Drosophila melanogaster: one gene and its partners. The protein of the gene in region 1 interacts with the protein of each later gene in a pairwise test. Each region holds a gene or a part of one and is shown on either strand. Other genes may lie near its edges.

What was found.
Region 2: the proteins of CG5674 (region 1) and opa interact in a two-hybrid assay, tested with the Drosophila melanogaster proteins (one large-scale study listed by BioGRID).
Region 3: the proteins of CG5674 (region 1) and Clp interact in a two-hybrid assay, tested with the Drosophila melanogaster proteins (one large-scale study listed by BioGRID).
Region 4: the proteins of CG5674 (region 1) and CG34210 interact in a two-hybrid assay, tested with the Drosophila melanogaster proteins (one large-scale study listed by BioGRID).

The regions. Positions count from the first base shown.
Region 1 is NT_033779.5:17,956,763-17,966,378, forward strand, and holds the start of CG5674 (uncharacterized protein), read left to right. Parts: upstream 1-6,616; 5' UTR 6,617-6,783; coding exon 6,784-6,843; intron 6,844-7,381; coding exon of another isoform or gene 7,382-7,687; intron 7,688-7,746; coding exon of another isoform or gene 7,747-9,125; intron 9,126-9,186; coding exon of another isoform or gene 9,187-9,616. Other genes in the region: btv (beethoven), read right to left, coding at 5,973-6,254, 7,382-7,687, 7,747-9,125, 9,187-9,616.
Region 2 is NT_033777.3:4,848,841-4,858,096, forward strand, and holds the start of opa (odd paired), read left to right. Parts: upstream 1-3,972; 5' UTR 3,973-4,265; coding exon 4,266-5,214; intron 5,215-9,256. UniProt on the Drosophila melanogaster protein: Transcription factor essential for parasegmental subdivision of the embryo. It is involved in the activation of wingless (wg) in odd parasegments.
Region 3 is NT_033779.5:818,246-823,873, reverse strand, and holds Clp (clipper), read right to left. Parts: upstream 3,911-5,628; 5' UTR 3,796-3,910; coding exon 2,905-3,795; 3' UTR 2,665-2,904; downstream 1-2,664. Other genes in the region: CG3662 (uncharacterized protein), read right to left, coding at 98-237, 305-1,016, 2,215-2,322; PGAP2 (Post-GPI attachment to proteins 2), read left to right, coding at 4,540-5,170, 5,231-5,367. UniProt on the Drosophila melanogaster protein: Component of the cleavage and polyadenylation specificity factor (CPSF) complex that plays a key role in pre-mRNA 3'-end formation, recognizing the AAUAAA signal sequence and interacting with poly(A) polymerase and other factors to bring about cleavage and poly(A) addition.
Region 4 is NT_033778.4:23,347,666-23,354,954, forward strand, and holds CG34210 (uncharacterized protein), read left to right. Parts: upstream 1-3,852; 5' UTR 3,853-3,957; coding exon 3,958-3,977; intron 3,978-4,039; coding exon 4,040-4,304; 3' UTR 4,305-4,479; downstream 4,480-7,289.

The DNA of each region.
Region 1 (9,616 bases):
GCCCCTGAGGAATCGGGCAACAGTTTGTAAAAGTTTTCAATAAGCTTCTGGTATATCGAAGCAGTTTGTGGATGCGCAGCGGAAATGCATAAACATTTATAAGAATTTCCTTTGAAAGCATGTTAAACATAATTTCGTGCCGAAGGACAGGATGGCAGAGGCTTTCATGGGAAATGTGACAAGAGAAATCAATTGAAGTTACTTGTAAATGAATTTCGTCTCGAAATTTTCAAGTTGTGCGGAACAAGTTTGCTTAATTTGTGTAATGAAGAAATCCCAGAGAAGTTTGCTATCAGCTTCGGAGAAATGTAAAATGAAACTTTGAGAATAAAATTTGCTTAGAAGAATATTTACAAGTTAACAGGCAAAAAGTATTGTTTTAAACAGTAATTATAAGGTTCAGTTGATTTGATAAAGAATATTTTAAAAAAGGTACATACAAAACAATGCCTATCGATTAACATATATATGTATATATATAAACTTTTTTTTTGCTTTAAACTTGGCTCATTTATAATTTATAATTCACAGTTTTTCCTTTTTTACCAGCTTAAAATGTGTTTGGATAATTCCAAGCCATTTAAAGTTAATTCGTTTGCATTTATCCAACCATTAAGTGGGCACCAAAAACAAATGCAAACGAATCGTCATCCCAGGAGGATTTCCCTTACCTAGTGTCTCCATAACTCAATGGGAACCTATTGGATCACAGCAAATTAACATGCATATATCTGGCCAATGCGATGCGATGCGACTCGATCTGATGTGATGGAGGAGCTCGTGCAGAGCCCACAAGGACACATGTCGCCCCATGGAGAGCCCCAGCCTGCCAGTCCTGTGAATCAGAACAGGACTCTTGTGCCGTTTGGCATACGAAATAAGCACAAACAAATTCGATAACAAATGGTTTGGAATCAAGACAACAACAATGCAGGGGCTATATACCATATATTTATACAGCAGGAGGTGGGCAAAGAGCGAAGGACGCTGGTGAGTTTAGGAACAAATGACATATTGTCGGGTGCAGAAAAATCCTGGAGAATGGGAGACAACATATGGTTAGCCTGATGTGACTTTCAGTTCGTTTTTGTTTGTGTTTAACGTAAATATAAAATTTATTATCCAGCGAAGCGCATAAATTAGCCAAACAAGAAATCAGAAGCAGACGCAAATTGAGACCAAAACCCACACATCCCCACTGAGCTCGACTTGATGATGATAACAAATGAAATCAAATAGGTGGAATGTGGGATATGGAAGCCATATGAAGGGGACCAACGGATCCCAAAGCAAACATCATTAATTGTGGAGAGTTCACAATTTGGATTAATGAACTATCAAATGCGGTTCTCAATTTACGATGCGCTGAAACTGTCTTTGTGGAGTATATATGAGTGGCTTTTAGTCAGTATACATATCGAATAAAACGCATTGTTTAAACAACTTTAAATGTTTTTCTTTCCGCATGGGAAAATTCAGTTAATAATTTTGTCCACAAAAAGGTACCATTCAACCTATAGTGCAGTGCTGTTTTAATAAAAATTAAATCATTTTTCTAAAATAGTCCTTTTAATTTAATGTTAACGTTTACACGTTTATACATTTACATAATACGCACTATTGATACCCTGTACTTTATTGATACCCTGTACTGGAACATCCCTCAAGAACATGGTGAAATGAAAGCAGCAAAGCCATCTTTTTCGAGAGTGCACTCTAGCTCCACCTACCGGCAGTCTAAAAGTTAAGGAAGTAAGATTCCCACCCACATTAATATTGATTATCTTTAGTTGTTTAAAACTCCCTTAGTAAATATCAAATTTCGCATCGAAATAAGCCCTCTGGGCCATTGATATCATTAGATTCACACTTAATCATGAGCAGGCTAATTAGATGTCTTGCGTTTGGCGCATACAAGTGTTAATTTTCCCAAAACAAAGCACACGCTCGCAGTCGGTTAATTAACACATTTTCGCAGATTTCACAGTTTTCGCAGCCTTTCCCGGAACACTTTGTTCTTAGCAGGACAGCAAAAAGGGGCAAAGCAGCATGCAAAACCTGGGGGCAACGTGGCTTTTGATGTGTTCCGACCATAACTTTGCGGCCCAAAGTCGCTGCCAAGGCTAAGGACCTCCCTGTATGCAAAGTCCCTTGAAAAAAAGTAGCTGCAAATTCCCAGCAAAATCCATGGCAACATGACCAGCAGGCAGCGGTAACGAAAAGTTTTTGGACAAACCGGGCCGAAAACTTTCAAGATTCACAACTGCAACACTTGAAGTGTGTTGAAAGTGCACGCACACTCGCCTAATCCCGCTCACAGATACTCCACACACACAAACACCCATTGCGCACATCCTGCATATCCTGCCTGTTTACCAAATGAGTTTTGTGCTAGTTTGTTTAATGCCTGGGGCCGCAAAATTTATGACGACATGCGGAAGGGGTACCAGCAAGGGGATGGAGTCCTATCTATCCGGAGAGTTTCTTGGTGTAATGGACAGATAACTGTTGCCTAATTGTTCTGACATTCATACGCAGTGAGGGTGGCAGTCATAAAAGTTTCATTCCATTAAATTCGTTCTCGATTCATGTAGTTTTGTTTTAACTCTGAAGGTTTGGGGCTACTCAATGCAGCTTGATCAATTGGAAAACTAATTAGAATTTGACCTCAGGGGCAGCAAAAAATTATAGTTTGGTTAAAAGTGTAAAATGAGGTTTAACATATTAAACTTTATATGTATATATATATATATATATGTAAATCCTAATATAACACGATTGTTCTGCGCAAGCAATAATTCTGCAAACTTAATGATTGCGTAATTTATTCCGGTATTTTTAGATTAATTTCGGATTTCCGAAACGTTAAATCAATTAATTAATTAATTCAATTAAATTTTGACTGTCATTGGCAGCTCCGCATGTCCTAGTTTATTGAGCTTTATTTTTTGGAACTCCAACACCCATGAAAGGCGGTGCACCTGTTGCCTGGACTACGGTGACACCGAGTTCCAGCACACGTGGGACATAAATTCCATTTCATTTAGCTCTTAATTCAATTTTATTTGTCACATTCTGCTCGCGCCATCCACCGTGGATTTAAGGGGGTTCGTTCGGGGCGACGCAATTATCGAATGCACCACGTAAATTAACCCAGAAACGTTTCCATGCATAAAATGCCAAAAATTTAACTAAAATTATGCACATTTGTTCGGCAGAGGGAGGAGGAAGAGGAGGGGAGCATAAAGAGACCAAAAGCAACGGCCTTTTGAATAGGACTTCCCAACTCCCCGGCTGGAATGCATAAAACGCTGATTGCAGCGTGTTTCACCCGCGTTTTACCCTTTTTATTCCAGCGAACGTGACTGAATTTACACGCAAATAAATACAAAACTATGGTAAGAGCAGCTACTGCAACAAGAAAAACGGCTCCATAGTTAAGCAAAAGACAAAAAAAAATCGGCAAAGAAGTGCAAGTGCCCGAATACAAATATGAAATGCGGCTGCCGAAACAAAAATGCTATTTATTTGCCAACCCAATGCTAAAAACGAAAAAAAAAAAAATTTCTATCACGTTCAAAATGTGCAAAAAGAGAGAGCGACAGCAGCGTCCGCCAGGTGGCGCTAGTCAGCGAGCGGCAAAACGGAACCGGAAATGCCGCCGCTGACAGCGAAGCCTGTTTAAAAACGAAGGAAAGTCACAGCTGCCATCGCGTTATCTGCATTTTGTTGACTCTACATCCTTTCACCGCTGCCCTCTCGCCTTTATCTCCGCATTATGCATGAAATATTCTCTATCTTTCGTTTTTCCTCTGGCCTGTAGCAAAGGTGAGATAAATCGGGATTACCCTCAAATAGAGAGGAGTGAATGTATCAAAAGGCAGGGAAGACAGAAGACGCTAAAGCTTTTCTTATTGAAATAAAAAAAGGGGGGAACTTTGCCATAGAGCACTAAACTTTATTGTCAAATTCCATTGAAACTTCAAAGTGTACATAACATTTTAATAATATTACTTTTGCACGCCTTTATATTGCGAAACTAAAAAACTAAAAGAAAAGTGAGAGAAACAGCTTAGACTTTATTTTATCTGTGAAAGAGGTACAACCAAATAAAATCTGGACACATGCAAAATGTACCAAAACCAACAGATTTATCAATACATGTATTCAAAAATAGCATACTACTTCTTATAATTTCCATTTCTGTCTCATTGACCAGTTTTGTTTCCAAATAGTCATAAAATCAAGTAAGCTCCTCAAAGGAGCACCCAATAAATGGAGTAAGTGGTATTCAAGTGAATGGTAAAGGGGAATTGCCATTTAAATGGCATCCCGGGTCCGGAAGAGGAGCCAAAGTCAAAGAAGACTCACTGACAAAGGGCAAAGCCCAGCTGCAAAGTCAAAAGTGCGGCATGAGTGCAAACTGATTAATCACATTTGGTGGGCTTACATTTATGGCAGATGTGGGGACATATTCGTGTGTATGTACCAGGAAATGGGCGGCAAACACATGCAGATGTCACATTAGCCTTATACTTTAATTAATTTCTAATCCCAGCTCATTGAAGGCGGCTGCAATTAGATGGCGACGCCGTTGCTTGTAGGCTGGCAAGGATTACAAGGATGTGGCCGCTTGGCCCCGACATTTGTCAAACACTAAACACTGAAGAAGCCAAAGGAGGATATCAATTTGTGCATTTGAGTGTAAAGTACGGATTCGCCTGCCCATCAACTGCAAATTAGACATTCAAAATTTAATCGGCAATGCAAGTTTTTGGGGATTTTGGGGCGGGCACATAATTAAGCTGCAACTTTGTGGGGATTATTCAATGCGAATTGGAATCAACCAAAACCACAAGCTTTTAACATTAAATGCGATGAACTATTTGGTTAAGTTGGTAATCCAGCATTGCGGCGGGTGAAATAGTTTAAGGGCCTCATTAATGTGGTTGCGGCTTGGGAATATTTTGGAAATTGATCTTTATGTAGCCTAAATGCATAAGAAGGAGGTCTTTAAACTGTTCTTCCTTGTAGCTAATTGGATTTGAAGTTCGGAGCGGAGTTTATGTATCTTTTGATATACACATTCACTTTATATCCTTACTCAATTACCTTTTCAGCCTTATCGCGCTGCCTAATTCCTTAATCCGCAACTAAATTTCCATTTGAAGCGTAATAAATTATTTATTCTCAATAGCCGACAGCACAACAAGTTGGGAAAGGCGTACAACAAAATCTGAGAAGTCTGCATAGCTAAATTTGCAAAATGTGTTAACAAACTGCCACGCCCACCGATACGAGGCACTGTGATTTGTGCGGAGGGCAATTTATATGCCACAGAAGCCGGCTGCCACGCCCCCTTCTCGGTACCGGGAGGCACTTTACACTCAAATTGTGTTAATTTGCATATTGGAAACTTTTGCCTAATTGAACATAATGCCACTTAATTAAAGTTAAGACAAGTTTTTGACGGTAAAATGGTTTTGGGCCTGGGGGATGTCGGGGATGTCTTGGCAACTAAAAGTATGCCCGACATTTATGGCAGTTTGTTGTTGAAATTTACGGCAATTAGTTTAATATGAGCAGATTATGAGGGACACAGGACGCAATAAAATCCCTTCGGCGGTGGCAAATTAATTTTTAGGGGCATCCCCGAATAAACACAGACACTGAGACATATGGAAATCAATTAGCTCTTCAGAGTCTAAGTCCTCGCCTTAAATGTTTAATGGCCCATTTTTATGTTTGCCTTTGGCTGCCTAATTGTTAGTTGTTTAAATATTTACTTAGAATTAGTTGGGACCCAAATGACAGCGTGTCAAGGGTAGGAAACTAATGTTAAAAGAGTTTCGTTTGGTTTTTATTTAATATTTGCGAAGGTGAATTGCTATTCAAGTGTCAGTCCAACACATTCTTCGCTTCTCTACATATATATTTGAAATATATTGGTATAAAATAATATTGAGTGGTGTTTAATAATCTTCGACTATTAGCGCTGTTCCGGCCAAGAGAATTTGTTCCGCAGTTCCGGTCACAATATCAACATTTAGGTGGCAAATCAATTTGTCGCGACTGCTCCGAGAATATAATGGGAGTTTGGGCTTCGATTCAGCATTTTGCGTGGAATATAGCGAATTTTTGCCGTATTTTGAGGAACTAGTAGTCGTATGACTGACATTTTGTACTTCGTCTTTTATTTTGTACTTGATGTAGAAGGGGTTCGATTTTCCCATTCCACTCTGGGCGCCATCAATCTGTAATGGAAAATGAATAGTGCCAAGTTTAGTTACTAATGAAATACTTAGATATATTCCACATTACATATATTCACAATTGCTAAAAACAAAAAAAAAGGCGAAAAGCGGGTAGATGATTTGCAAAGTTTATTCTCCAAGTCCTAAAATGTATATACAAAAAAATAGTTATTTGTTTTTTTACAGTGTTAGTTCTAGCAGGTACACCCATCAGGGCATAGCGGATGCACTCCCCATAGTCAGCTTCCAAACCGATTATCGATTGGCATCGAATACGTAGATATACAAACGAGAAGGGAAAGTAAAATGTAAGTTTGTGCTCAGAACTGCTTATCGATAGGCATCGGACAAGGTGCCATCTCTAATTCCCCCTCTTGTACCGGAATGTCAATCAAATGAAAACAAAAAAAGCGGCGTGAGAAAACTGAAAAGAACGGGCATCCAGTGCACATTTCAAGCTTAATTTCGATGCATTGAACGGCGGCGGCGCACCGAAAACAGGAGGCGCAGGATTACGGATACGGAAGCTATGGAAACGGCCAGAATGGAGACGGCGATGGAGACACATTTTATGGCCAAAATGGGGAAGGTGAGGAACAAAGACAAGAAGCAAACGGGCAAGAGGGAGAGAAGATGTCATCAGTCTTCGTCCCAAAAGATAAATAAGTATCTTTTGGGATTTTGGATTGGGGGAATCAATTTGGACTATGGATGTATGCATATCTACTATCCAGGTAATCCGTAACAGAGTATTGTTACTGTTACTACTACTACGTGTGCATCCAATTGTATCTGATATAGCAACCTGGCAAAATGTATCCCAAAATTATTTCTCAATGTTTATTGTATTTACTGTAACGCTTCTCGAGGGCTTATGATATTTAATGGTTATCCCCAACTTAACCAATGCGCCATCTACCGCGAATATTATAGTTATGGCAATTTCTTGGCTGATTATCCTGCGATTAGTTAAATTTCCTTTTATGGCTTCGAAATATATTCTTAGTCGCTAAAGAAGAAGACATAGAAGACATAACCCCTTGAATCATGAGTAAGTGGCTTGCTGAATTTGATTTCACAACTTGATGTCAAAACATTATCGGTTAAAGATACTAATTCTTACTCACCTTTAGCGGCGCCAGCTTGAGTATTATGTCCGAAGAATCACTTTCCAAGTTTGAGGAGCCGCAAGTTTGCAACTCCAGGCGTTCGGTGGAAACTGCCAGTTTTCGAGACTGCAGCAGCTTTAAACAGGACAACAGGTTCTCACAGTTAAACACCTGGACGAAATTGATATCCTCTACAAAATCCAGATGCATTTGCTCCCGGAATCGAAGTTCGGCAGCCTGGGCTCGAACGATTAGGGCTCTTAAAAAGTCCACGGCACTGTTGCTGCCAGGTCCAGGCCATAGTTTAAGCCAACTGGCAGGAATCTATGAATTTCAGTTTATTATGCATTTTCAAGTTACGTTACTGTACCCCAGTTTCTTACCTGCTGTTCTGCCAGAGTTCTCAGAGTGCTGCCATCCACCTCCTGCGACTCCTTAAGCCAGGCATGCATCTGCGACAAAGTCTGGTGAACTATGCCGTAGAGATCCGCCCCTAGTTTCAGTTCAGCCAGCACAAAAAGTGCCCAGGGAGATTCACCCACATCAGTTTTTGCCTCCTTCATAGTCTGGATTATGGTACACGAAGCCGCCAACTTTCTCCATAGATTCAGTAGGGGTTTAATTTGCTGTTCCAGCTTCTGACGACCAGTGAGCTGATCGTTTCCCTTAGACTCTCCTGCTCCTCCAGAATCCTTAGCCAAGCCTCTTCCGTAATGCAATCCCCTGAGTTCCTTTATCACTCTTTTGGCCTGTTCAATTTCGCGTTGCTGTTGTGCCTGATTGGCCAAACCATACATACTGGGCTCATCTGTGTCAGGAAGTTTCTCCAATGCAGCGTAGTAGTCCTGCAGTTGACCGCTAGTTGGTATGGATAGAGATAATCCAAGAGGTGACCAACGATTGCTTAAGACGTCCGCTGAACAAAACTGGTTCAGATAGGTTGTGAGTATCTCCAGATCCCTCTGATTATTTACTCTTCCGCCATAAGCGAGGGCTTCACTGAGACGTTGCATCAGCAACCAATCGCATTTTCCTGAATTAAGTTGCTGATCCATCATTCTTAGGATACCCAGAGCCGCTTTTAGATCTGCCTCACCGAATTCATAGTATTTTGACCAACCTTGTGGTATAAACTGTCGCCTTTGTTGAAGCACAGCTGTTAGGACAAAATAAACCAGTCTCATCTTGAGGCTCTTTGGTTGGTTTTTAAGCTTTTGATCCTGTTCAGCAGCGAAGTTCTGGAGCAAACGCATCACAATCTGCTTTAGTCCCTTAGGCTGCTCATAACGTACTTTAAGGCATTTATAAATGGCAGCTTCGGAAAATCCCTCGGTTGATTCGCACAATAGCCACAATCGAAAGTCTTTCGATTTTTGAATTTCACTTAATTCCCTTTCCATTTGAGTTAGAAATTCCGGCACCAAATGGACATTCTTAACGCATAACCAGTGGCCATCTATGGCAGCCTGACGCATTTCGGAGAGAACTCTTTTCTCAACACCTTTTCCAATAGCCATTTCTCTATACTTTTGATTGGCCCACTTTCTCAATTCAGTTGTTGGATCATTTTCCGCATGACTAACCATCAAAATCGGGCGATCACAGCTGCTCTGCTGCAGCAACTGCTCCACAGAAGGTTGGGTGGAGGCATCTGGGGAAATTCCCAGCAGATCGCTACTCACTTTTCGCAGTTGGTGAAGCATCAAGTCGGGTCGGAAAATCTGAGCAATAAGCACACGCTGGAAGCTGGACCCCAACGCAGCTGTAAGTTCGAAAATAAATCTGAATAAGATGAAATTAACTAAATTATTTCTACAACTTACGTAGCACATCATCCGCTTGAGCCTCAATGAATCCGCGCCAGATATAGTCCTTCTCCAACTGGAGCTTGCTTCGCAAATCTGGGAACAATTGGAGTAACATAGCCAGCTTTAATTGCGCTTCCTTGGGCATGCAGTCGGGCAGTTTTCCAAGCTGACTTAGCACCATACTGCCATCAGAACTACCCATGAAATTGTTCACAAACAGCTCCCACTCCTTGGGGTTTAATCTATCGGGATATGCCTGATGACAAACCCACAAGGATAAGGATAGCTGGCTATCTCTAGAAGTAGCTCTAGCTAAATTCATATAAACACTTCGTACAAGACAATCATAGACCTTGGACTCATCTCGTTGACTTTTGGAAAGAGCCCCCAAAAATAGTTCAATGTAAACAAGAGGGGATAATTCATAGCCCTGGATGAGGCCTGC
Region 2 (9,256 bases), on another chromosome or scaffold:
CTCCTTCCCGAAATGTGCCAATCCTTTTCCTTTTTTAACAACAAAGTCAGGACATGAGCCCTAATGAAAACTAAACCATTTAACCAGAAGTGGTCACCGTAATTGGCTCAAAAGAGTTAAGGCTTGGGAAACTGTAACGCCTACCTAAATCGAAATTCCATAGAGATAGATAGAGATACCAATGCGGATTTCAAGCTGAACCAAGCCCGTACCCTGGCCAGGTAGGACGAGGTGCTTGTGTAGTACCAACGCCCACCATAACAACTTGACTCGGGCAACGGCATAATTTATGCCGGCGAAAAGTGGCCGATGGCCGAGAAAACCTCGGACAAACAGGGACAATAGCAGTCACAATTCAAATGAAAATCCATCCCGGGATGGCTAACAGCTCGTAAATCACAGATTCCGGGCCGGAAAGTTGACTGACTGCTTGACTTGACTTACCTGCGAATGCAAACTGCGAGCAGCAACTGATCATAAATTTTGTTCAAGGTCTCCTGGTTTCCGATCGCCTTTGTTTTTTGCTCTTCAATGGAAAACGCATTGCGGAAAAAGGATGTGAGCCAGTATGGCCAGGATTGCCAGGACGGCCCTCACCTTGGTGTTTATGGCATGTAAATATTTATGGTTGACATGACCTTGTCAGTCCGTGTCCTACGGTCAGCACTTCTCTCGTCACGCACTTTTTTATGATTCGTCCGAAGCAAAATTGCCGTGTCCGCTCTCCGGCAAAATATTTATGGGCATATAATTTTCCACGATTTTCATTTTCCCTCTATCTGGAGAATCTCGAAGCGATGTGTGGGCTAGATGTGCTGCCTTGTTCCGGTGTCTTCATGGCATGGTCGTAAAAAAATTGACTTTCCTAAGCTGTCTCGATTCCCTAATCCTTGTACTACCTCCTAGGCATCGCCAGTTTATCACGCCCCGGGATTAAGCATTCTGATTCAGATGTCCTCGCCTTTTTCGAGATTCGCGAATTGCCTTTTAGGATTTGGCCAGGGCCTTCTTACCTGTCTGCTTTATTGGTTGTGCAACGGGAAGTGGGTGGTTAAGGTTTCGGGTGGAGCGAGCTCACCACGTGCTGAAATGAAAAGGAGGCCCATGTAGATCGTTCATAGTTTTGGAAACTCTTTCCAAATATTAACCTCGCATTCAATGGCGTACTCTTTCAATTTGATATTATTGTGGTGTGTAATGGTAACAGGCATTTCTTGCAATTTACTATTGAACTTTGTGGCAACGTCTTTATGCTTTCATTGCACAAAAGAGTGCTAGATTTATTTTCTACGCAATTAACAAGAGTATATACTTCATACAGTACCAAACAATTCATGTGCTCGCTTAAATATTTATCTGAACATTTTCCATCTTTACTTCCATTTGTTGAAGCACATTAATCGGCATAGAAGCAATGAAAGGAAATCGCGAGGAAACCAGTTGGACAGGAAACTCCCACGCTCCCACATCACTCCGTTGACACCCCTCCCTGCCTTTTCGCACCATGGCCATTCACTCTGTGGGCTCGGCACGGAACTCTCCATCCCGCACTGGAACTGGAATCTTGAGTCTCGGCTCTGGAATCCCGGGTCTCATGCGAACCCCTGGCAAAAGACCAGTACAGTGCTCACCGCTGTGATCGCGGCATGTGCCAAAGGCGTCCACGCCAGGTTACGGTTTTATTTTGATTTCGGCTCTGACTCTGATGAGTCCGTGCCCATGCCACGCGGCCATGTCCCCAGGTTGTCCCCGACGCCCACCGGTTGGTTGCCCACTTGGTTGTGGCCAAACTGATTAAGCACAGCTGAGGGTTCAGTCCGCTGCTTTTAGGGGTGAAATCGACACCAAAATATGAATACGTCTACTAACACGACGGATTGCAAATAATCAGGGCTTAAAAGAACTCGACTATAAAACATATGGTTGGCTATGATGGAGGAAGATAATTAAAAAATCGCAAAAGCTACAAGATTTTTGATGTTACTTGGATCTTCAGAGCTTCTATTGAACTTGGAATGATTGACTGGGTCGTTAAATTCGTTTTCTGCATTGGAAAGTGGATATTCGGTCTAGTCCAAAATGGACCTCTTGAATCACAGACAACAACAGAAGCTGCAACCTGCTGGGCCAACTTGCATTTTGTTTATCTGGGCATTTTAAATTTATAATTTCTTGTTTGCTAGCGCCTGAGATTGTTTCCCCCGCTCCTTTTTTGTTATTAAGAGTTTATTGCATTTTGCGCTTCCATTTTCAAGTGGCTCGTACGGCATTATTTATGGGAGTAGTTCTATGGCAGTGCGCTAGAAATCCACTTCAGCCGACTGCTCCGTTTGCAGCCCATCATCTGCTCCAACCCGGCGGCTTCGTCCTCATCCTCCATCATCGATATGGAGCAATGGCTTCATTTCGAGTGACACTTGTCGCTGGAGCTCTGCGGGACTGGGTGCCTGCCAGCTCGGTGCACTTTCCGCTGCTTTATGGTCTTGCCCGTCTCCCAAAATGGCATTGGGGTCGGTATGACATTCGGACGACTATGGACTGTCGATTGCCGTCCGCTGATTGCTGATTGCCGCTGAGTTGTTTTGACAATTTAATAGCCGAACCGCTTGGCGGTGACGCTTTATGTCACAATTTGCCCCAATTAATTCATTGCGGAAATCAAGGTAATTAGCATGGAATCACATGGTCTTTTCTTGCTCTCATTCTCATTTAAACTTTACCAGGAAATATTGTTTTCTCAAACGATAAATTCAGGGCAATATATTTGATTAGAAAATACTGTTTTTGAATAAAAATTTGATTACTCAATATATATCCAAATTCAATTTGATTTTAATTATTATCGTTTTAAAAGCTTAAGCAATTTTTAATACTCTGCCAGCAATTACATATCAACCTTAAATTATCTACAGATGAGGACTAGTTCAAAACACGAATACTAAACGAAGACAATTTTGATGTTAACGACCTTCCTTTTGCATCGCTCAGTTTTTGGATTGTAAATAGAAAAAATCATATATTTTGAGAAGAGCGTCTGACTATATACATACAGCATAGTGTTATACCATATTATCACAAAGCAAATGTTTTGTATGAAAATAAATTTATACATTTTTGCCCTATGCAGGCGAAGTATCACTTCACAGTCTGCCCCAAAAGCCACTTTGCCGGGGCACTTAACACTCAGCAGAATCCAATCAAGTCGATTGATACAAGATTATGTATTGATTCGACTACTGCTTATTGAAAATTCCATAAATTAGCAAATGAAAAACAGAGCGTTTGGCGCTAATGAAATCTCGTACGTCTTTATGGCGCAACCTAAACAAAACGGCTGGAAATCTCCGATGTCCGAGCACGGAATGTGCTTAATATCATTAAAATCAATAAAATAAACAACTAATTTGATAAGCTGACAGCTGGGCTACCCGAAGTGGCGGGCTATTCGTCCGCCGTGACAATGAGGAGCGGGCTGGAAAATGCATCCCCGCGAGCTTTCAATTGGCTGCCCGTCGGTCCAATCAGCATTTGGGCCCCCTGCACAGGCGCACGCCGCACGCTGTCGGCCCACCACCCAATGGCCAACCGCAGTGGGTGTTAATTTTCGCGAAACCAGTTTGCCGAGCGAGAGGGCGCTATGGTCGGGTGGGTTCCAATTGGACTGAGTGCGCAGCCTCTGTGCTCTTCTGTCCGACTCTGGAGCATGCGAGGAGGCGGCCATTTTCTTAGAGTTGTCGCACTCGCACCCATGGCTCAGGCCTATCCGACAGAGTGGTGGCTTGTGCCGAATACACCATGGCAAGCGCAACTCACCACAGGCAGGTCATACGCCTGGCCTGCTCGCACTCGCGCTTTCGTTACCCTCTATTCATTTTACGTCGTGCATAGGTCGATCCCATTCGCACGCATGCGATCGTCGGCAGATATTTTCACGAGGCAACACAGCAGCGAGTTAGAATTTCAGGAGCATTTCAGTCCTGCTGCGCATCTTGAAACGTCAAGTCTTGGCATTCGGTTAGCGTCAAGTCTTGCTGCGATTCGAACGCCCCAGAAACGCATCGCGCGCGAGTGCATTACGTAAATAAGTATCAAGTCGCATGCGAAATATCTAAGAGCGAAATAAGCGCACAGTATATACAGCTAAGTGAGGTGACCTCAGTGCGTGATGGGCTCATTGGCCTAGCAAAGTGCGAATCGAAAACTTGTAGTTCAGTTCTTTCTGAATTAATTTTAAAAACATATAAGCGAGCAATAACACTGTAACCATGATGATGAACGCCTTCATTGAGCCGGCTCAGCACCACCTGGCCAGCTACGGGCTGCGAATGTCGCCCAACACCACCGCCAGTAACAGCAACGCGCAGCAGCAACAGCAGCAGCAACTGGAGATGACCCAACAGCAGCAGCAACAACAGCAACAACAGCAGCAGCAACAGCAACAGGATCAGGAATCCGCGGCGGCCACTGCTGCAGCCTATCAGAACTCCGGATATGGGCACTTTAACAGCTATGCCTCCCGGGACTTTTTGCTGGGCAGGAGGGAGGCCGAGTACGGTGTGGCAGGATCCGCCGGACAGGCCTCCGCCGCAGCGGATTCCATGCTCTTCTCCGGCTTTCCCGCTCAGGCCGCGGAGCTGGGCTCCGGGTTCGGACAACACCCCTTCCACAGCCACCATCACCACCATCAGATGCGAATGGGCATGGCGGATGCCTACGCCGCCGGCCACCCGTACAACCACCACGGCAACTTCCCGACGGCGGCAGTGCACCACCCGGTCGTGCACCACCCGTCCCACCACGCCATGTCCGCGATGCACCCGGCCGGAGCAGGGGCCTTCCTGCGCTACATGCGCCATCAGCCGGCCTCGTCCGCCTCCAGCGTTAAGCAGGAGATGCAGTGCCTCTGGATAGACCCCGACCAGCCGGGCCTGGTGCCCCCGGGCGGCAGGAAGACCTGCAACAAGGTATTCCACTCGATGCACGAGATCGTCACCCACCTGACCGTGGAGCACGTGGGCGGACCCGAGTGCACCACCCACGCCTGCTTCTGGGTGGGCTGCTCTCGCAACGGACGCCCTTTCAAGGCCAAGTACAAGCTGGTCAACCACATCCGCGTCCACACCGGCGAGAAACCTTTCGCCTGCCCGCACCCGGGTTGCGGCAAGGTCTTCGCCCGGAGCGAGAACCTCAAGATCCACAAGCGGACGCATACAGGTAAGTGTGGCGGTGCATTCCGCTTTATATTTAAACCATATTAAACCATTCATTAAACTAAGAAAATACTTTTATTTAGTTTTGGTTTGGCAGTCAAATTCTGTGTGTAATTATTCCTGTTTTATAAAGATCTTAATACTAATAGAAAGTCGAAGCCTTATGCAGATTTTAACCGCTTATATTTAGAATAGCACATGCTAGGTCTGCAATCTCTTAGAATTCACCTTGCGTGGGCATAACCCTTGCCCGCCTGGGCAAATCCCGGACGTTGTCGATGTGAGCGTGTTACCGACGGCAAAAGTCGTTGCAACGCCCACTACCTGGCTTAACCCGCCACTGGCCGGGCGGGTCATCTTTTATGACACCTGTAAAACCTGCGCCCAAAGCTCTTCCGCGCCCAGAAAATCCCGCAAAGATGTTGTCCTTACGGCTAGGATTACTCTACGGCTTTAGGTTGACTTCGACTTTTGGTCTTAGTATTTCCCTAAGCCTGCGACTTCTCTTGACTTTGGATTTTGACTGGCATGTATTTAACTACGTTTGGAAACTTGGTCAAATTTGTAAAGGAACTGAAAAATTTAGTTTAGCTACTCCTTTGTTTTTTATACTTTAAGCCTTGTTGTCGGCTTCAGATTTTGTATTATTTAATAATAATGGCTTACTATTACTTTGATAGCCAACCGCTCTATGCAAATTCTCAATATAATTAATTTTTCTTAAATCCATCATTAATCATGCCCATTTCAAGCATTTCTCTTTCAATTGTCTTTCAAAAATAAATTAAAATCGCTTTGCAGCTCATAGCCTGAACACTTTTGAAAAAACATAGCCATAGTTGGAGGCTTTAAAATACAATTTATGCGGTATAGTCGTGATCTATGAGAAGTCGAACTATAAAGCCAGAAACGGAGCTTAACGCAAATTAATGACTTTGATTCCAGTGGCTGTTGAACTTGTTCCATTGAAATTTATGGCTGAGCATGTAGGGCTCATTAGAAGCGGCGAAACACAGCCATTAAAATCAATTAACAAGTGGAAGTTGGGAAAGCAAACATGAAATGCGAAAACACAAAACAAAGTTTCGCATAATTGGTGAAAAGAGCGCCAATCAGGTTAATAAACTTTCCAGCAAATATCGCTTGGTCCTGGATTATCCTTGATTGACCTCAGCCTTGGCGTAATTAACTTGGAAATTGGAGGAGAAGAATGAAAATATGGCCAGCAATATTCCGCAATATCCAGCATGCTTATATTTTGTTGTTTTAATGTTGGCTTTTGGCATTTGTTGTTGCCTCTTTATTTCTATTATTTTGTAATTTGGCCTCATGATTCCAAATTGAATTAAAATAAGACGTCGGGCTTCATTATAGCTTCATCTTGTAGTTACCGCGATTATAAACTCACAAAGAAATTCATAAATCACAGAATTAGCCACACAAAAAAGCTATTTCTGTAAATCTGTTCGGACAACAGTATTTTCTTTTGCACACTCATCGAAAGGTAATTAAAATGTTTCGATTTGATTTCGAGACGCCGCCATATTGTGTTCGATTTTGGAACAATCATGTGGCATTATAATGAGTTGGTTGCTGTATGATGATATTTTTGACTAATTTCATATTTCTTTTCTCCGCCGTGATGCAGCAGAAAAGTGCATTTTAGGACCTCTGACTGATTTGTGTGTGCCTATGATTGGTTGACCTGGCTACACATTGTCGGAGATAGCCAACATATTGATTAGCTTTCAAGTGGCCGGCGCACAACTTCATTACGGATCGGGATCGAGCTGGGATCGGTCTGGTATCTGGCTGGGATCGGGGCCTTTAACCTTTCCATACGACTCGGGCACTTGAAGTAGCATCCTCCACACCGCATAAATCAAAAATTCAATCAGCATCGCTGGCTCGGCTAAATGTCCCTTGGCACTGGTGTTTGTTTTTATTGCATTGACACCGCCGACCCAGGGCAAATAAACACACTCGAACACACTGTGTTGACACGTGTCAAAACTTCCGTTTGAAATGGCTCGGAAATGCTTCCGAGGCACTCCGTGCTGGCCCTCTCAAAAAAGCCATCGAAACCGAAATTGGGGTAACACTCGCCGGATTACTGGACGCATTCGCACATTCGCATTCCACTCCTCTAGCTTTATTTTATTTGCGCTGCGATTGTTTCTGTGCTGTTCTGTTTGGGTTACTCGCCATGCTACATTAAGCTTTTGATTTAGATTATGCAAAGGTTATTTACGACCTGGCTTCCACTCCTCGCCGATGGGACGGGTGAGGGGTCCGAGTTTGATAAGTGGGTGAGTAAAACGGAGCAGGGCAGTCAAGTACGTGTTTATGGATCCAGCCGATATAGATCTGCCCAAATGGTGCCACTGTAGCAGCTCGAACTGATCGAAGGGGTCAGTACACCGCGGCAGGAGTTGACTTTAAGATTCGAGTGTGGAACGAGAGTAGGAGATTATAGTTGTGAAATAACTCTCAGTCAAATCCAGTTTTTCGCTATTGCCTCATAAATTGTGTGTTTCTCTCGGCTTAATAATTATGTTTACTTTCTTACATATATCTCTATTATTTAAAACAAAGATTGCATTGCTTCGATTTACCAATAGTTACGATGATCTAAAACAAATTCGATTCAACTGATATATGAGTAATAGTGGGAAGAGTCCTTTCAGAATATAGATCCCAAACTCACACAAACCACCACATGCATATGTCTCTTTTTGTTTCTTTCCCACCGTTCCGTCCGGTCACTGCGTTGTGTTAACTTTTGCACTTGTCCCCGTCACCGTCTGAAATTTTGGCTAGCCTCCTGTCCATCCTGTCCATCCTGTATTCCCCCCCCCCCCCCAGCACCAGACTCCGCCCCTTAAACTCGGCACAAAAAACCCGGCAAACAATCAAGGTTTGTCTGCTCTGTGGCCGTTGTTTTTTGTTGTTTGGGGCTCTGTTGACCGGCCCGAGAGTCTGTGTGTCTGGATAGATGGCGTTTATCACGCTGTGCGGTTTGCACACACATAGCCATCTTTTACACGATTCTTTCCTCTCCACTCCACTCCACTACATTCCGCTCCGCTCCGCCCGGCGGACCACAAACAACTTTATTCATTAACACCTACAACGGCCACAGGATCCGACTGCCACAAGAGCATTCAACAACTTTGTGGTTAGATTTTATTCGTAGCGCCCCATCCGCTCCTTCCAAGCTCATTAAGCTGCTGCGAACCAGCTCCCAGCTGCCCCCTTCAACCTCCCACCACCCAAAGCCCACCACCTCTGGTTTTCCCCGCTATTCCTCGCTTTTCAAGTGCAACCTCTCACTTTCCGCTTCCCCAGGCGCCTTGTTGTTGTGCAATTATGCTGCGGGGCAAAGTTTAGCATTTAACATTGTCCTGGCAGCTGCGACCCTTGTTTGATTAGCTCCCCCTTTTGCCAGGATGCCCCTTTCGGCCCCAACTCGGCTCCATTTAATTGAGTGCAAGTGTTTTTTTAATGAGTCTTTTATGGACTTGTTCAGCTCTGAATGATGAAGTGAATTATGCAATTATTTACACTTTTAGAAAGCTTTGGGGTAACTGAGGTGGGAATGATAGTTCATTCCACACGTAGAAAGTTATACGAGAAGTAGTTACACGTTAGTCAGATTGTCTAATCGGATCTGTAGGAATCAATGTTGTTTTCAGGACCAAAACCCAGATGATTATAGAACTTCAAAATAATTTGCACTGCCCACTTCTCAATGCATTTTTTGCTTGCTCGGCGCCAATTCAATAATTTTTCAAAACACAAAATTCTGAAAACCAAAGCGCTGGCAAATGTCAATGATTGATGACTTTATTGCGGGTTCAATGGTTTTCACAAAAACAGACACCGAACAGCCTCAGATACGGATATAGCTACAGATACATCGAAGCGAGAGACAGAATCACTTTTTATTTTGCGGATAAACTGTGTGTTTGGTTTCTCAGAATTTGACTCTTGCCAGAACAATGGCCAGTAGACGAGGAAGAGTCAGCGGGAGGAGGCGGTGGAAA
Region 3 (5,628 bases), about 17 Mb from region 1:
TCTGTGTATGTATAAATCGATTCTAAGTAATAATTTGTTTAGGTTGTGTTATCATATGGGTGTTGTAGCTTAAAAGATCCTCCTCCTCCTCCAAAGCTCAGGCCTGTTGCCTAGCCTCGTTGGCCTCGTAGGCCTCCACCTCGGCGATGTTGGCCAGGTCGTACTCGATGACGCCCTTGCCCATGAACTCGGCGTACTTGGCTGACTCCGGCAGCGGATCAGCCGATCTCTTCGAGACTGTAATGGGTCGAGGAATGGGAATGGATCAGTAAGTTGCTGGCACCTGTAAGACATTGCTACTCACCGCCTGAGACGAACTTCTCCATCATGTAGACCTTCATATCGAAGCACTCGTTGGCAATCCGCTCCGAGATGAGCGAGACATCGGTGATGCGGGGCATGACCACACGCATCTGGCGCCGCACGCGCTCCGTATCTATGTTGTAGTAGCCAGTGCTCATCTTCTTTATGAGATCCACAAAGCTGGTCGGGGGCAGGGTCGTGTCCCGATCCAAGGGCATGATGAAGCACCGTCCGGTGGTAGTGTCGATAATGGCCGACTGGTTCTCCTTGAAGTCGTGCATGAAGCGACCACGACGTCCATCCTTGAAGTCGGGCACGTCCACGCGTGCGTAGCCCTCGTCATCGCTGTCACCGTCCAGTTCGATGTCCTCGCGGAAGTGGCTCTCGTCCAGCGATCCACTGTTGGGCATCGGTTGCGCGAGCTCGGGTAGCAAGGAGCGCCAGTTCAGGGCGAACGGTTCCACGGTGCGCGGATATACCCGCGCCATCTCCATCGAGTCCTCCGGATAGGGGATCTCGCACAGGGCGTGGTAGCGCATGCTGCTATGCGACGGAGCGTACACTCGGTACAGGGTCCATCCGCCCAGGACACCCAGGAGCATCACGACTACGGCGATCAGGAACAGCAGAAAGGATTTGATGCAATGGTGCTGCGGCCGGTTGAAGACCATGGATTCCGCGTCGGCTTCATTATCGCTGTAAGCAACCTTGGGCTGTGTGTGGAAAATGGGGGGTTTTAAAAATATGGGATACTCCTCTAAGTGTCACTTGCAATTTTGTAGGAACAACAAATTGCAATGGAAAAGTAGCAGTTTTATATACAATCTAAAGTTATCTAAAATGACCGACTTGTTATATCTGTTTCCTTATCACCCATTGTTCCAGTGGAAAGTCATAAAAACGACGATAAGTCGTAGAAAAATACAAATAGAAGGCAGTTGACTGTAATGTTGATAGTGGAAGTTCCACAAGTCGAAAGGTTTGAGCTTGCTGAATATTAATCACACATTTATATTTTCCGCCAGCTCAGCAAGATAATTTTTCACTGCAATGCCTTCTCTTGTTCTATAAACAATGCAATTGCATTGCTAAGTCAAAATTGTTTCGAAAGATACGTCGTTAGCGAGAGATTAGTCTAAGGAGGGGTCAGAAGAGATCCCCTTGCAAAAAATTAATCAATTGAAGGCATTTGCATGCACTAGAGTGGACCTTATTCGACTATGTAGTGCATAACTCATATGTAAATGTATGATTGTATATAAATCTCTGGAAAATTAGTGATATCTACACTAAATAAATAAACTGCAGATGGGCAAATATGCTGGGAGATGGGAGATGGGAGCTGGCAGCTGGGAATGATTGTGCTTATGACCAGCAAGCTGATAAGACACGACTTTCTCTGGATACCCGTGCACACGAATCGAGGTCAAAGTGCACAGTGTCAGCAGCTCACAAAGGGCTGCAACTGGCACCGTAAGTGGCTTTCCCCAGCCGTCAGGGCCAATCTCCACCAGCAACAGGAAAACCCTTCGCGCTGACCTCGGGGAGCGAGCGAGCGAGTCCTTGGCGCGGAAAGCCCAGGAAAGTGAATGGGCACACGTCACTTGGAGTGGAGCAGGGGTTGCATGCGGGCAGGGGGGTAAGGGGAAGCACGGGCCACAAGGACACCAAGGAGTGCGGAGCTTGGTCGGGGAAAAATCGATGGCGAGCTGCTGCTGCTGAGGCTGTAATTCGGAATGGATTCCGAATCGGAATCAGCACCAACCACCCACCCATCACGAGACTTGTGGCTCTCGGGCCGCAGGACGAAGGACACGGTGGCGGGCAGGGCGCGAGGGATGGACAAGGACATAGCACGATTGCGCAAAAATAAGGACACATCCCGCAGATGCGATGCCAAGCAAAACTCACTGCGATTAGGGAGCCATGGTGCATGAGCGCCTCGTCGTTGAGGTTCATGGGCAGGGGCACCTTCTCCTGGTCCGTGGGCTGTCCCCGCAGTTTTCCCAGAATTGTCATGGCTGCTCGTATGCTGTGTTCTTGATGCCTCCGCACGACCAACTTGTTTGTTTTTACTGAAAATTTAGTGCGCAATTGTTGACGAGCTGAAATCTCGATCCAGACAAGCCAGTGTGACCAGTTCTAATTCGCCTTTCAAAAGATGTGGACAAAAGTGAGGCAACTCTAGAGTGGTTGCAAACTTGGAAAAGACGATTCGCCGCCCAAAAATTCGAAACTTGAATCCGAAAAAAAATTGTGAGGCACAAATTGTTATCTTACAAACGAAAAAACATGATACATTTATATTTTTGGAGAAAACCCAAAACATACAACTAAACTCCCTTCCAAAACGAATTGCTTACTTGTATCTTATGGAAGTTTATTTCGCTGATAACACAATACGTTCTACTGGCAGTTCTAGGGACTTTTTTCAAAAATGCAAATGAGTTTCTTAACATACACTTTAAACACAGAATGATTGAAACGTTCGCCTGCGGAAGTTGGGAACCTACGACCTCTGGACTACACAGCGGACTATGCAGACCGCTTTCGACCTTTATTTCTGCACTCTTACAGTCTAATCATACAGAGCAGAGCGTCCTACTTATGACTATGTTGGTTAGAGAGGAAGGCGAGGTGACCCTTGGGACACTTGTTCGCGTAGTGGCCCTTGTTCCCGCACTTGTAGCAGGTGATCTCCTCCAGGGGCGTGGGCACCTTGACGAAGCCGGGACCATGCGGCTGACTGTGGTGATTGGATTGCATGTCATCGGCACCCTCGATGTGGCCGGAGTGTCCAGAGTAGCCGCCCGAGTGTCCGCCGGAGTGATCCATTGCGTTGATATTGTTGCGATGCTCCAGGCTGCCCACATACTGCTTGCACGAGTTGGCCTTGTGGCCCAGCTCGCCGCAATAGTGGCACGTGGGCAGTTTCTTGTGCAGCTGATCCTTACCCAGTTCCGCCAGCGGGGGCAGCTCGAAGTGCGGATGCATGTGCTTGCAGGACGGGCCCTCGGGGCAGAAGCCGGCTAGGTAGTCCATGCACAGGACACGGCGCAGATGCTGGTGCCGGCAGTGGGGACCGTGGCGGCAGAAGCCTCTCTTGTACCACGGACAATCCTTCACCTTGCTCTGCGGGTCGATGTGCAAAAAGGGACACTCTTTGTTGTGGCAGGCGTTGAACCTCGAGTAGAAGTAGCACTCGGGCATCTTGGTCATGTCGTACTCGTGCAGGAACTCGCACTGGTCGCCCTTCTTGCACAGTCCTCTCAGCCAGTGCTTGCACACGATCGTCCGGTCCCCGCGAATGTGTCGGAAGGGACAGGCGCTCCCTTTGTCGCACTCCTGTCCGTTCCTGGTGATGAAGTTGCAGACCGCCGCAATGGACTTGTCCATGCCGTAGAACGGCAGCGGGATGGCACCCACCTGCTCGATGAGGTCCCGCTCCGCCTTGAACTGCAGCCCACTTACGTTGGCCAAAAGGATGTCCATCTCTGACGGATTCGCGGATGCTCGGATAGATGAGGAAAAACTCCGAAATCTGGTAAACAATGCAGTTTCCTTCTTCTTTTTTTGCGCGTGTTTGTTGTTTCAGTGCGAATAGTGCTGACACGCAACCGGCGTTATCGATATCGATAGTTCGCAAGGCAAGACAGTCATGGCCGTCTAGCTGTTTATTAGCCAAATCTGTCCACTTCAGGGAATAGATATTTGTATATAAATATTTTTAGTCTCCAAATGTTTTTAATTTATAAGATTAGTCATAGTAAGAAAATACTTGTTTTTATGACCTTATTTAACTAAACCGCCATTAATAACATTTTAGCTATTTAGCTACAAAAGTAAGTTGATATTGGTCAGCACTGTTGGCGACTAAAGTATTACATAGAAATTAAGTATCCGCCCCGTTAGTGTTGCTGATAAAAGGGCTTATCTACAATGAACGAGCCAGTTTCAAAAATTTCACTTACACAAGAGCAACACTTGAATTGCTTCGAAATTTAAACATTAAACACTGAGTAAATTCGATAATGAACCACCCCCGCCGCCAGAGGCCGATAGTCAGCTGGTATCGATCACTTGTTTACAACTTTTCGCAATGTTTATAACGTAAGCAATCTGCGTGAAAAGCCATTAGTTAATTTGGGAGCGAGGAACTGAAAAATGAGGAGCGAGCGCCGCTGAAGAACCCAACCCGACCAACACCCCACGTAGTCCACCCACTCCAAAGGTCAAATGCTGCCTACTTACGAGCGCTTCAGTGATCCCAAAAGCGTCCTCTTCCGGCTTCCCTTTGCGCGACTGGCACTGGTGGCTCTTAGTTTGCCCCTGGGAGGCTTCTTCTTCTGCGTGATTTGGTCTCTGACCTTTGACTTCGTTAGGAGCACCTACACCCACTGCGATGTGACCAACTATCTGCCCTCCGTCTCGGCGGCCATTGGGAACTATGAGCCCCAAAAAACCGTCTGGAGACTGGCCATATTTCTGCATTTACCACTCCGTTTGGCAGTTGCCAAAATCTACTTGGAGCACTATCGGGAACACATCCGCCGGAGCAGAAGATTGCTGGGCATCCTGGCCTGCTTCTTGAACGTCGTGGAGGATCTGGCCCTCTTCTGCTTGTCGTTTTGGACCTCTGCGGATCATTACGAGACCCACAGAAACGCATTTGTGGTGTTCATTGCGTGTTCCGAGTGCTATATGCTGGTTTCCTACCTGCTGAACAGGAATATACAGAAGACCGTGCTCTTGCCGCACGAGGAGAAGTCGCTGAGGTACAAGAGAAATCTGTTCTTGGTGAATGTGATCGCCTTTGGCTTGGCAGGATACTGCTTCGTGAGGCACAACTCGCATTGCGAGGCGGGAGGTGAGTGGGAATCGGTTGTGAGTCCACTATTGTCTTATAATGAATCTTTTCTATCCACAGTCTATACTTTCTTCGCGTTGTTCGAGTACATCGTGGTGCTGACCAACATGGGGTTCCACATGACCTCCTACTGGGACTTCTACGCCCTGAATGTGGTGTGTGATGCCAAGCACGGTCTCTACCTATCACAATCGTAGACCAATGAACTAGATCAAACCCAGCCTGCGCCGCCATTTCAGCCAGCCAGTCGTCCTCGAGTATTGTGTACATACGCGGTATTAGCTTAAGCTCAATGTTTACTTAATTTTACCAAAAGGAAATTGCTTACGAGGGATTCCGAGAGGAGACGATTCAGTATGACAGGATCTGATGCATACACACGCTTTTAGCTTTAGGCTCTAACACGATTTTACACCTAAAGGATCTAGTTAAATTCGAACCGAGTTCCATCATTATGT
Region 4 (7,289 bases), on another chromosome or scaffold:
TTATGGCTTGGACAGGTGTGTCGAGAGGCTTACCAACACTGTGATTTTCAAATTGCTGTGAGTTTTTCAATAAATGTTTGTCAGTTTGTCTTACCGTAAATGGAAGATACAAGGAGGTCTTCAATTAGTAGCTAAGGAGTAAAGGTCTTACATCTTACTGAACATAAATATATACTATTTAAATTATTCGGTAATTAAAACTGCAAGAGCACGCTGCCTTTTAGTTAAAGCCGCGAAGTAAGTGTAATTTGTCAGGCTGCGGGCTTTTAGACCCTGTACGCGCATTTACACTCCAGATGGGGTAAGAGTTAACTATTAACTACTCGCAGCCAGAGTCCAAGGATGCCCCAGCTCCACCAACCTCTTCCGCAGGGGTGGCGAGTGGGGCTGGGAAATCACGGCGTGTCGCTTTCGAATGGAACATAAAAAATTGAGGGCTTAATTAAAAAGCAAAAATGTGCTGCGATTTTCCGCTTTTTTAACGCCAACAGCAGCAACTTCGGCCCGTATTTATATCCGTACCCCAACCCGTGGCCCAAAAAAAAAAAACCCAGGGAAAATGCGAATGCGAATGGGAAAAACAACACATTTTCCAGGGCCAGAGAGCGAAGGGAAGGGAGGAGTAAAAACTACTTGCCGACGACTTTTTATGTGGCCCATGTTCCTTGGAGGCGAAGGAAGCACTGCCAGCAGTTCCATTTGAAATTTTCCGGGCCTCATGTGTCTTTTTATTTCGCCTTCCCCCCCCCCCCTGGGCTCCTACAAATTAAGCTTTCCCTCGCTTTGTTGCCTCTTTTTTGGCCAGACCAGGCCAAGACCATGACTTTTGTTGTTAATTAAAGTGACGGCTAAAAACATGAAACTCTCAAGTGCTCATTAAAATTGAAATGCGACTGCAGGAACAAACCAAATGTGTGCCAAATAATGACGTTTGGCTCTTAATGCCACTCCATGTTCTCTTCGCAAACAGGATAGTTGCGTTCCCTCTGCTGAATGCAGGAATATTAAAGGGCTCAAATGGAAATTTAATAGGTAATCGTATGGTGTGGGTTTTGAGCTCTTTAAATTAGGTAATCTTGATTAATAACACCACGAGTATATACTAACCTATATAGTAGTACAAGTGGCATTCATATCCAGCTCTTCGGGTGCTGCAAATTCCGCCGCACTCCTTCACAAATCATTTGTTTGGCCAAGTCCAGTTCCAGGAGACCAGGAGTCCACATAAACCAGCGGCAATCCCCTCCCGAAATCAGGGCGATTGCAGAGCTTTAAAGTGCTCCTTGGCAGGCCACATAAATAAATGTTTGCACATTTACTTTGCCGGGCTGCCCTCCTCCTGAGTCCTTCTGCTCCTGCAGGATTGCGGGTGTTGTGTTCGCTCGCTTCGTTGCTCCCAGCACGTTCATAACTCAACTCCTGCTCCTGCTCCTGCTCCTGCACCAGCTCCAGCCACTGCTCCCTCGCCAAGGATGCGATTGTGCGAGGATGTGCCGGAGGTGTTGCTTTCCAGACGCTTTATTTACTTGCAATTCGATGCTGGCAATCTCGATAGTTTCAATCCGAGGCTACGCCCCGCATTGTTTTCCGGCGCTCCGCTAGCGATGATTCTCCGGAGAGAGATTGCCATAACTTTGTATAGTGTAATGGCAATGCAATTGGATGAATTTGGCAGCAGGACGAACTGCACCCATCACGGGCATCGAGGCCAGTTAGTGGGAGCTCAAATTGCAAGACAAAGCAGCGAGCCCAAGTCAATTTGGCCAAGTCTCACAGGCGGTCAAGGTGGCGCAGTGATGCAGTGATGCAGTGGGCCCACTGAATCCAATGCAATCGCTGCAATCACGTACCCAATGGGCATATTACTAGCTGACTGCGATGTGAATGGATTAGGTTGACCTGGCCGTGGCAGTGTTCACTAACTGCAATCTAATTCTGATCTGGGGGTGTCACATTTATCGGCATGCTTTTCTAAAAGGGTATCCATCGCACGGAGGGGTAACAAGCTTTTCTCAAACACTTGAACATCCTCAAATGTAATTTTCTCGTTTATTAAATAATATTAATACATATAGATCTTTTGCCGCTTTGACATACTAGGTAACTAGAAGTGGGAAACAATGAATTTCATTTGCAGCTCCTTCAACATTGTCCTCCAAACTCCTCTGCTTACTTACTTATTTCGAGTGAATCTCAGGGTGCTTGGAGCGTTGATCTGGCTATAGGGTCGTAAGCTGGGCCGACAATGGCCGGTGCGAGATGAGGTCGGGCTCCATTTTCAGGGCAGTTAGCACAATGTCACGTAGCAAATGCGACAGCGTGGTCAACATAATGAACGGGGCGGCCACCCGCTCCTCCTGACCCCGGCCACGCCCCCCGCCCATCTGCTCCTTTGGGATAAAGAGTGCAGCATGTTGCAGGTTGCAGACGGCGAGTACTTCGCGCAGAACCAGTGCTGTCCGGTTGACTATTTTTCTTGGGCTTTGCCATTCCGGAATTACAAAAAAAAGAATATTTTCTTAAAAGTACAGAGTTTTGTCTTCTAAGAGGTGAGAAATACATCATATTTTTTTTAGCCTACATGAGTCACCACCACTTTTTACCTGAGAGCGCCTCTGGCCAGGACTTTGGTGGCTTCCAATCGTGTCTGGTGTCCACTGATTGCTCTGGCGGCGATTGCAATAACCTTTGCCCATGTCGACCATGTCACGACAACTCCGCTCGGTTTTCGGGCCAAAGGAACCCTCAGACAGTTGGCTCCGAAAAATGTGTCGATGCACGTGACATTCGGATGCAATTTGCAATTTGATTTTGTTCCCTGGAGAGGCAGTAGACGGGCGGAGGAGGTGCCCATCGCCAGCAGGTCGCAAGTTGCAGGTTGCAGATTCAGATTCGGCTTGTTGCCTAAGTTCAAGGATCAAATTGATTCCCCTTTCGGCAGCAGCAGGTGTGAGATGCGAGATGTGAGATGTGAGCTGCGTCTTTGCATTGTTACACTTGACCAATTCGGATTGCAATTACACACCTGACTGTTTACCGCCCCGCCACCACCATCACCACCACCAGTATCGCCCCAATTTTGAACCTGACTTTATGTCTGGTGAGGAAGAAGGCGCTGCTGGACTGTAGTTATTCTTGGGGGCCAGCTGTGGGGCTGGCTAAAATGGCCGAGCAACGATTTGTGTGGGTTTTGGCTTGTTTTGCAATCCGCTTTCTTTGTTGGCGCCATCATCCCCACCACACCACTACTTAGTCTATAGTTTACGCGCTCCACAATTTGGGGGAATTGTTTGTGGGACAAGTGGGGGGGGGGGGGAGTCCGTCGAGTAGGTGAAAGACAGGCAATAAGAAGACAGCCGAATGGACACTGGCTTAATTGAAGTCCTCTTTATGACAGTGGCTTTGTATCAGTACTATTCAATTCCTCTATTGCAATCTATCGATTTGAAGACACTTCCAAAGTGTTTTTTAAAGTATGCAACCACTTGTGTTCAGATAGCCTCCAGCATACTTTCAGGCAGCGGAACATTCAGGGGAGGCTGTATTAAGTTAAAGGGCCAGCATCAATTAATGCCCACTTAAGCCCAAAGCACCTAGTCAGCAATCCAGACTGCAAGTTTACTTACATTTGCACTCAGGTCCGGGTGTTAATGGCGCCCTTGTTATCGGATGTGGATATTCCGTTCGCCCCGGATGCACAACATCTCCTCCCGCGTTCGCCCTCTCCAGGTCGCCTGATTGACCTTCTATGAGTGGCAAATGGTGTTGGGTGTCAGTCAGGCGAAGCACTCCGCCCAATTTCCACCTCCGTCCGGCCAATCCGTGCGCTTCGACTAGGTGGCAAACTAATTGGGGAATCGAACCTGGCCCGGAGAAGACTGTCGGCCGGGTTACATTAGTGTTTCAATCACCTCACATTAGACACGCTGCTTTGTCTACTACCAAGTCGAGCGCAAGATGAAGAAGTCCGGGGACTTGTGAGCCCAAGCCAGTAGGATTAGCACTTCGATCGCCTAACACCCTTTTCCTTTCGCCCTAGTCTCTCCCTGCTCAACAATCGCGACCTGCTGAAGACTCCGTCCGGCAACTCCATTGTGAACTTCCTGGTGAAACCGATGAGCGTGGAAATGAACACGGCGGACAATCTGATCACGGGTGCCAGGCGCCAGCGAATGATGGAGCTCTTCCAGGAGGACCGCGCCTGGGAGGCCGCCGAGTTGTCCCGCTTCGGACTGAGCTGCATCAAGGCCCCGGACTGCTATCCCTGCTGCACTCCTTTCGAGTGCTCCAAGGCCAAGTTCTAGGACTAATTGATACGTCTTTTATTGTATGTGTGTGAGAATCAAATCCATACGTAAATCAACCTTTAAATTTCATCCTCACAATAGAGGATTCGCATAGAAAGCTGGCCATACATATTTGATAGCCAACATTTTCCCGATTCTCTAGAAGATTAGAAAACAGACCGTAATTTCGTTTAAATTTATTTATTTTATTTGTCGTAGGGAGCACCTTTCGCCTGCTCCTGCGGTCAACTGTCGGCCGCGTAATAAATTGATTCGGTGGCCATTAATCTATTTTCCGGAGCGGGCGGAGGGCCACGCCCCCAGCTTGATGCGCTACTCATTGTTTAGAGAATGGCAGGCAAATTTCGGCGCCTTTGTTCCCAGATAAAACCCTTTTGGGCGGATCGTGTTTTTTCGGGGGCCATGCCCGCTTTTTTTTGTCCTGCGGCGAACAAAACACAACTGATTATGGCGGCAGGACACTTGGCCGGATTAATTGAAAGCCGAGAGGCGAAATCCGAAAGCCTAAAGGCCGGCTTTTTTTGCCCACTTCAGTTGGGCTTCATTTTGCGCTGGGGGATTGGGTGTTGAGAATTGAGAATCCTCCATCATCATTTGTCATTGTCAGCTAACGGAGTGTGATGGCCGCCCCATTTGGCCATAGATGAGATAAGAGGCTGTGCTCGGGCTCAGCCCGGTTTCGCTCAGTGCACTCGGCTGCACTTCCCGCCTGACTTTTGAGCGTTTGAGCGTGATTTTCTTTTCCGTGTGCACTCAGCGATGCGCTAATCAAATTATAAATCGTGCCCATTGGAAAGTCGTTCGATGGCATCGGTGGCCCCCAGGAGGCGACATTGTCACCATCAGCCCGGGCAATCATAACTCGCACAAAGGGAAGGCCATCCTGTATTTTTCTACGCCTTCCCCACCATTTCCACTTTTCCCACTGCATCTGCGACACTTTTTCAGCGCCCATTAGAGCTGCTGTGGCGCCACCATAATGGATGCCGGAGCAAGTGCAGCCGGGTCGGTCCGTTTGCACTCCTTGGACCTTTTTGTGTTTGAGCTCTCCACCCGCTGGGAATAATGAAAATGTCTGCGATTGGTCGGGCAGGCGGCTAAATAATAGAATCGATTAGGTCTTTGAAACTGGGGAACCGTACATCACTTTTAACTTTCAAACACTTCTTAAAGTAATAGATACTTACATTACTGCTACTCTAGATTCTCATACTGAGATAATACACAAAGTATAGGGTATCCCTAGTGCCAGACAGATAAAAAGGGCGCAGGAACATGCATATTTATGTACATCCATATATGTATGTACATACATATGTACGTATGTTTTTTAATTCATGTACAATGTTTTTCCACGGGTAATCGTGAAGGGCGGCCAGGTGGGGTGCATTGCACATGGATCGCATCAAACAATGCCCATTTCTTTAATTAACAATTTGCATTTGCCGTGTTTCCAACAATTTTTTGCCGACCCCCCTTCCGTCCTGTTTTAATTGGTGTTTACTTTGGGCGGCTCTTGTGCCACGCCCACTTGCAATAATACCGCTGGATGCAATGGTATGGTATGGTAATCACCACCTGGGCTGAGCTACCACATTGCTGCATTCCTGCATTCCGGCATCCCGCATTCCGGCTGCCTTTGAGCGGCATCTTTTTACTAATGACTCGAAATCCCATCCAATCATGCAAACTGCTTGGGACTTTGTTTGCGGATTCACCCCTCCGGTCGGAGATAGTAATTTATTTCTTAAAAAGTGAAATCCATTAACACAAATTCCTTGGCCCACTATCTTTGTACCCCCTCCCCCAACCAAACAGCCAACCATCCTCCCTCTCCCACCTGCTTCAAACCATATCTTTATGTCTTGGTCAGACCATTCACGTGGCTCTTATGTTCCGGTTTTCCAGCTTTTCCGCTGCTGCCTGGCCAGAGGAAAATTGCAATCACCTTTGTGATTGTGTTCTGCTTTTCAGCTCCATCGCTCGGCATTCAACAGTTTTCGCTTTGTGCACTAAAAGTATTAAATTTCTTCAAATATTCTCGGTACACGTGTTTGTATGTACATACATACATGTATGTATGTACGTACATATGTACATAAGTACCTACATATCTACATACCGAGCAAAAGTCACTTTTGAAACGTATGTATGTGTATGTATGTATGTTTTCTGTGCGTTTGTTGTTTAGATGGTCAAAGATTTGGTTAGAAAGACACATTTTCATGGCATTCGGTTAGTGGTATTACTTATTTAATTATTTACGAAAATCGTTCATAAAATCAATTCAAATGGCAGATAATACCAGATTTCCCAAAAGAAGCTTATTAATACTGAGTGCAGGATTTTCTGTCAGGGTTTTGCACATCAAATAACACAACTGTACATAGCTTCTATCGAACTTGTCAGGTTGAGGAATTTTTTTGATGTGACATAGGCGACAAATCCAAAGTTTATTCAAAAGGCAGTAATTATAAGCATTTGCAGCTGGCGAGGCATTTTGTCGGGTAAGGCGATCCTCCTTAAGAAGTGCTGATTCAGTCAAATCCACTATTTCAACCGACGCTGCAAACATTCTGACCATTAAGACCAGGGCGCGGGAACTTCACCGAGGAAATGCGCTTAGTACGACGCAATCCAGAAGCGCATGCAGAATGCACAGCAGGTTCTCCAGCTGGTCATCTCGGACAGCTGTACTGGCGCTGCGATCCCGCCATGAACAAGCATGTGGAGGGCCTATGACCTATGGCCATGTCGCTTGTCTGCTGCAGGTCTTTGTGGAGAACGAAATCAACCTGAGTCCCGACCAGAGCTGCATGAACTGCTGCGGAGGCTGCCATGACACCCGCTCGAGCGGTTGTTACAAGGCGGAGGAGGAGTTCTGTGGCCAGCAGGCCGCTTGCAAGGGAAGGCTCTACAAATGCAACACCATCGAGTCCGAAAGTTTATAATCTTTGTGGGGACCAAAAACAACAGCTAAGA